Daphnia pulex: one gene and its partner. The protein of the gene in region 2 interacts with the protein of the main gene of each other region in a pairwise test. Links are inferred from orthologs where the notes say so. Each region holds a gene or a part of one and is shown on either strand. Other genes may lie near its edges.

Region 1 (2,988 bases), on a different chromosome or scaffold from region 2:
CAGGCAGTAAAATGACAAACCTTATTGAATTTGCCTTAAAATCTATGGAAGATAATAAATCTCAAGTGTGGTCTGGAACTGGGGCAGCAATTGGAAAAACAATAAGTTGTGTTGAAATCATGAAAAGGAAAATTCAAAATTTACATCAAATATCTAAAATCTCATATCACAAGTACAAAAAATACATAGTAATCTTTAATTTTATTTTAACTAACACTCTTCTCTAGATGTGAGGAATATTGGAATCCTAAGAGTGATGAACTTGATTCCCTTAGAGTTGTTCGGAATATTCCTTTAATACACATTTTGTTGTCAATTGAGCCATTGGATTCCAATGAACCTGGGTATTATCCATACAACAATACTTAATGAAATTGATATTAAGTTGTTTATTTGCTTCTATTGGACAGGTACCAGTCTTCTCAAGTTGATGTTAAAACCACTGAGGCTCCTGGAAAGATGAAGAAAAAATCAAGGGCAAGAAACAAAAATTACCACAATTTTGGAACCAAATGAAAATTTATTGAAGACATGAAATATGATGAGTGTTCCTAGAGGGGATGAACAAAGTTGTTAAACTGCAATAACATCAAGCACACATTAAAGTTGTAATAAATGACTGATTATGCCTCTGACTCAGCAGAATGGCCAATAAAATTGCCAGTTTCAGTTTCTTCAAAAATTGGTACAATCAATATTTCTTTAGACATTAAGTTGTACTTGGTAACAAATTCCGTAAAGCGGCGACAAAGGAAAGTTTCATTCTAGAATTATACAATAAAATTAGTAACATCTTACTGAAATAAATAACAAAAACTAACCTCAAATTCATCGAAGAGATTCCTATGATGAAAATAGGCATGAGAAAATATTCTATAAACTCGCCGACACACCGATCCTAGCTTGGCCACAGAAGATTCTTTAATACTTATGCTAAAAATATAAATTGAAGTCGGTTAATAAAGTAAAACATAATACACGCTGCTATTTTAGTTAAACTTACCGACTTGGAAAATACTTATTACTGTTTAAAAGACAAGCAGCACCATCTAAGGTATGTCTGGTATAATCAATAGCAGGACATTCTTTCGGAGTTTTATGTGCAGCACACAAAAATATCCATTGATCTGTTGCTGTCATTTGTGTACAAGATTCAGGGTGACACTCATTTTGCAGCTTTACTGCTATACCATTCAGTTCCATGCAAAATTGTCTGCAGCAGAAGGAGAAAAATATAATTCTCTTTCAATAGCACACACACATCGTTATTACTCACCTCAGATGTTCATATTTCCATACACCTTCATCTTGAGAATCTGGGGCTTTTAGAATTTCATCTATGGCAGTGAAATCTTTACGAATGAGTTGTTGAATATACTGCTGCACCGCTAACGTACTATCCATTTCTTCGAACATTTCTTCGGGCCAGCGGTAATACTCCTGAACATGCAAATCTTTGGTAAAGTTAATCTTAATACCAAGATCATTATAAAAATACAAACAATTGTTTTTGTTCCAGGTCGATTTCTCCTTTCCGTTCGGCATTCTACATCCGCCATTTTACACTTAATTAGACGCTTTTGATTGAGATTGAATGTACACAACAACACAGGGCGCCTCCTTTCTTTCACACAACTACGTCATCAACCTCCCTTTCCAACATGGTCTCCCACTGATGAGCTTTGAGGGGGACTGACTACACACTGTATGTAGAGATGGCGCTAGTAGGCGCTTTCTGAATTCTGACACTTTATGCTTTATGCACCCTTCAAGTCTTCAACTCGCCATGTAAAACGGAAACGCAATGTAAAACCTGAAGATCAATTAGATGTGCAATTTTGATATTACGTTACTGGCTTTAGTGTCGAGTAGATCTATACCATAAGCTTCTGTTAATAAAAGAGAACGTATACTAACCAACACGATAGATTTATAACTCGCTAATCCGACTTAAAATCTGTAATCGTTGCACACGTAAATGTAACTTAATTTCCCCAACAGGTTTCATTGTTTCATGGTGACCTGTAAGTTCCTAGTCTTACTGTCATTTAAACAATATAATTTTACGCTGTTGCATGTGAAAAGATTTAAGTATTGAATCGAGGAAACCAATAATTTTGTTAGTTTCCATAAAACTCCGAGAGTAGTGATATTTCTCCAGATGGTAAAAAAGAAATTGAAGAAAAATCAAAATCGGTGTACACCCTTTTCAGTTCCGAGAATGGAAGCGGTGGAAGCCCCCCTCGAAATGATGTGCACGAAAAGAACTGCTGTGACCTAGATTGCCTTTTTGTTCAATTCGATACGACTAACGGAAAAAATTCCGTATAGTCAGCAGTCTCATCCGTTACATGAATCATTCATTCTTTACTTTTTTGGGGTTTTATTTACTCTGCACTGCACTTGCTTGCTGTGATTTCACATTGGGGGTACGCGGATTTGGTTTTGATAACCACTTTTCTATTTGGATTTTTTCCCATCGAGTGCATCATTCCGCACTACTCGCTCATCTGAGCGCAGGGTTCTGCTGGATTGTGTGCTGTGTACAAGTTCTCACTGCTTTGATAAGTTCAGTTCACGGTACTTACAATGTCGCTGCTGCTGTCACGCTTTCATGCACTGACGCAATAAAAAAAGAACTGGTCAAAGTGTCGTAAACTTCCTCAGCATTTAAAAGAATTCGTGCTCGAAGGTTGACTTCACAAACTTGTTTTTAGCTATCCATCGCATGTGTGTTTTTTTATCCGTTTCGAATTAACTGTTATATAGAGAAAAATACCAACTATGGGTATAATAGTTGGCAATTTTGCAATTACGATTTACCACCGCACAGACAGGCTGAAAAAAAAAGTTTAGTGGGCTCCGGAAGAGTAATAGAGGTCAACGATTGAGAAGAGGCTGGTGAAAATGCAAATTGCTGGACCCTAAAAAATGAATGAAAGCTAGTTGCTGCTGGCCTCCGCCTCCTCCGCTATATATTCCGTCGTG
Region 2 (4,363 bases):
AATAAAAAAAAAGGGGACCGGTCCTTCGGTATAGGAACTTTGTGTTGTTGGGCTTTAAATTTTTTTTTTTTCTTTTTAAAAGGCAAAAACAGAAATTATTATGGCCTCCAGGCTGTTGTTGTAGGGGGGGGGAAAGAGAACAATCAGCTGTTAATTCGGTTGCGGGGTCTTAAAAAGTCAAGAAGAAAGAAAGAAAGAAAAAATCGGCGATCGGTTATGCATTTTTGCGGTTCCAACAGTCGCTGATGTCATTCAAGAACACGGAACCACAAGGGCCAATGTTTAACACACTTTGTCGGGTTCTCGATTTCGTTAGTGTCCAGGAAAAGAACAAAAAAAATGAATTTTCTCGATAGGCATCCCGGAATCGTTGAGTATTCAATTGCCAATAACCAGTCGGCCATCAATCCTTGAAGGATACAACAACCAGAAAACATGTAAATCTTAACTGGTATTATATACGAATATACTGAATCGATTAGCGGTGGTTCTCTCATGGCTTTGTCTTGTCCCTACGGATACGTTTGATTGACTGCAGCTTATTTTTCTTCTCTTCCTGTTGTTTTGGGATATTTTTACCTTTTCTTGTTTTGTTTTGTTGTTTCTTATTGTTCCTGGCTGTTGTTGCGTTACGGTCCGCCGTATCCCGCCACCCGTTATGCAAATCAGATTGCATGCCGGTAAGCTGCTGTTCCCCTCAAAACCATAGGCTACGAGAACGAAACCCCCCAAAAAAGTGAAGGAAACCAACTGAGCCAAAAGACAAAAGGAGAACTTTACCAGACGGCGATACACAAGTGACGCGCGGGCGTTTCTCGTCCATCACGTCAAGGAAAATCCTTTCAAACATTTCTTTAATTTTTATTTTTTATTTCTACCCCAAAGTCTGAGAATTGACTGTCGCATCGTTCATTGTGTTTCTGCTAAAATTGTGTGACTGTGTGAGAGAAAAACAAGGAGCCGATATAATTTTACACAAAACATCATCTCGAGAGCCTCTCTGTTTCAATGATTCTTGGAAATAAACTCGTCAAAAATCTGTTTACGTTATTATTACAAGTTCCATTTTTTTGTTTCAAGTGCACTGCGCAAGTCGCCCCCCACCGAAAATACATTAAGCGCAATATATATATACACCACACAAGTTTCGAGTTACGGGCTTTTGAGTTTTCGGGCTGTTTTGGGTCAACACCGAAATGTTGATCCAAAGAAGACACAAATTCTGCTTCGTGAAAATTCGGTTTTTCGGCCAGCTCAGACAGCTGTTTGCTACACTCCACAAATCCCTTAAGTTATGCTCGTACGCGTCACAAGTTATTACAGTCCGCGTATTGAATTTGAATTTATTGTAGCTACTGTAGAAATATTTAGCCGCCCGTATAACACTGCGTCAGGAAGACTTAGAAGAGTTATTTTTCTCTCCAAAAAAGGGGAGAAAAAATACCCTCCCATTTCTTTTTTTTTCCACAGTATTGTGTAGACTGATTTGTATGAAAAATAATCGGCTTATCAATTCTTTTTAGATTTTCAACCCCTCCACTTCAGCCAGAAGAAGAAAAAAACTACTGCAACCCTAACCTACGAGTTTTATTGATTCTACCAAAGAAAATACGCAGAGGAAAGAAAGTATGGCGCGCGATACCGAAAACGATACGGTACGTACGGCCGACAGCCCTTATATCCAGTGTTTGTCGCAGGATGGACAGTCGTGTGTCTCTTAAGAGCTGCAATAAAGGGGAGCGACTAACCGAATAAAGGAAAGGACTCTATAGCCCATAGCAAACGTAATAACACACTCAAGTAAGAAGAATCGTCAAGTTCAGAAGAAGAAATAATATGGCCGCGAGATATCTGGCTAGTCAAGTAGGCACGTGGTTAAGCGTCCATCCGGAGAGGGACGTCCAAAGGAAATGGAAAAGCGGTCGAATATAGAAGAAGAAGAAATACAAACGATTATACCAACATGGGACTTGTGCTGCAATGCCCAAAAAGAAGCAGCACGCTTTTTTTTATTCTTATTTTTAACCAAAAAGGAAAACCGAGTTCATCCGCACAGGTCACGGCACACGCAACGTTAATACAACACGAGACTAAGAAAAATAGCTGACCGTTCATTATTACCCGAAAAAAATTCTACGACATCCGGACGGGGGGCGAAAGAAGAAGAAGAACAAACTTTTTTTGTTTCTTGTACGCGCTCACGTGCCCACACGTCACTTACATGCACTAAGTTGACTCAAAAAGATTTTTCCTACCGAAATCGGCCAAGGAAGGAGCAGGCGCGCACACACAACAGGAAGCGAAATTAACAAGAAAATACGGGCCACCATGTCGGCCGGCGGACAGACACCCCGAAAGAGTCGAAACCCACAAGAGAACGAAACATTGAGAGAAACATATGAGTAATGAAGCGATTCCGGTCCCCGGACTTGTATATAAGCTGACTTGTACACACACTCACATATGGAGAAGACTCAGACAAATAAATCACATCACCCAACAACAAAAAAAGTTATTTTTGGACGGCTACCACTTAGTCTAACGTAGACAATGTTAGAAGCCAGCCCAAATAGAAAAGAAATACAGAGCTAAAGTATTTCTACTCTCCGAGGACTGCTGTTTTGTAGAAATTAAAGTGCTAAATCGCAGTAAATACAAACAAGAAGTAGTACGATACCATTATGGAGATCCACTGGGACGTACCGGAATGACGAGAGAGAGAGAAAACCCAGTCTAGTGTCGCCGGTTCAACGCGCCGACAGATTATTGAAAGTAAAATCGCCTGTCTATGGTAAGGTGCAGACGAATGCGTGGGTGCCATTCAGGCGACTAATAATGAAACGACAATAGCCAAAAAAGTGTTTCGAACCTACTGAGCAAATATTGAACCTTCTCCTTTAAAAGGGGGGAGAGGTGAGCAGCAAAGGAGAAAAAGAAAAAAAAAAAAAAGGTGTTTCTTCGATGATCACACCGATGCCTATCCGGCGGGGCATATCATCGTCTGTAGTTCTCTGTTGCTGTTGTCAAAGGGCTATGTGGCTCTTCCTCTTCATTCTTTTCTTTTTCTACTTTACTTTTTCCTTTTCTTTTTTAACTTATTTACTTACTATGTGGAGGAGGGAAAGAGTCTACTACTACACACTTTGTGCACGGTTTGAATAGATTCTCGGTCTGGTGAGCCGTAAAAATAGCAATGTCATGAGGGTCCGGCGACTAGGAAACGCAGGATTTATTGCTCCCTATTGACAAGGATAACAGCTACTGCCCACATTCCTCTCGTTCAACACTCACACAATCATCACAGAATATAACCGTTTAGTACCCCCTTGCCACACAATATAACAAATACGTTTTTTTCTCGTTGCATTCTCTACTGTAGGAATCGATATGTGTAATGTGCGGGGGCACGGTCGGGTGATTGTCGAAGGCCTCCATTTGATTTAGAGTGGAGTAGCCATCGATCCAAGGATTCGGAATCTGATTAGACGGAGGAATAAGTAATGATGACTCGAGACGGATATTATTCTATTGACTAGGGTTTGAAGGGAAACAGCTGCACACGAAGGTTTGCCAGAAGGATCTCTCGAGTTTATATATGTGGACGTCGGGAGACAAAGAGCGAAAAAGGGGTTTGTGAGCTGCTGGGAGAGCCGATAGACCTTCGACTAATTGATTTCCCGACTCTCGTATATATCGACGGAATAGACACACACAAAGGCTGGAGAGATACACCGCAGACTCGGCGACCGTGGAAACCGCACGCCTTGAATTGACAGGAAGCACGCAGGGCCCATTCAGATTTCAAGATTTCTTGTCCTCCCTCTCCCTTCCAGTTCCGCCAATATAACCACCATAGGCTCTTGGCGGAAAAGCATCAGCCCTGAAATTGATTTAGCTGTTTGACCCGTGGAGAAACGACTCTAATGTATGGAAAAACGAGAACGGCTCAGCAGCAGAGACGAATGTCTTATGAGGCGGTATAAATCACACGGACAACAACATCAGTTAAGTGGAGTCTATACGTATAATAACCAGAAAGTGCCGGTGTGGCGGCAAGACTTGTGGGAAAAATTGTTGCAAGTTGCACTTGCTTCAAGTGTGTCAATCAAATATTTCTGAATTCGATTGTGTACAAAAACAGGCCTGATCTGTAGTAACACACGTGAGCTATTTAATAAACCCTGACTGAGAAAAACAAAAACAGCGAGAGAAAACAGTTTCAGCCAACTGCATGGCCCAGGAATAATCGTATTCCGTGATCCGCAACGATTTATAATAAACGGAGAAAAAGAATAGAGATGAATTTGTCCTACCTTTAAGCCTGAGAAATACGGCCAGGCATCCACAAGTGTTGCTCCATCCA

Evidence for each region.
Region 1: the proteins of uncharacterized protein LOC124195356 (region 2) and MOB-like protein phocein interact in a two-hybrid assay, tested with the Drosophila melanogaster proteins (2 studies listed by BioGRID). The link is inferred for Daphnia pulex from reciprocal best matches to the Drosophila melanogaster genes rau and Mob4.

What each region holds. Positions count from the first base shown.
Region 1 is NC_060018.1:6,492,692-6,495,679, forward strand, and holds MOB-like protein phocein, read right to left. Parts: upstream 1,689-2,988; 5' UTR 1,560-1,688; coding exon 1,503-1,559; intron 1,441-1,502; coding exon 1,277-1,440; intron 1,214-1,276; coding exon 1,004-1,213; intron 934-1,003; coding exon 822-933; intron 765-821; coding exon 624-764; 3' UTR 517-623; downstream 1-516. Other genes in the region: ribonuclease P protein subunit p25-like protein, read left to right, coding at 1-172, 228-344, 411-516.
Region 2 is NC_060022.1:5,383,318-5,387,680, forward strand, and holds the start of uncharacterized protein LOC124195356, read right to left. Parts: upstream 2,844-4,363; 5' UTR 2,822-2,843; coding exon 2,678-2,821; intron 1-2,677.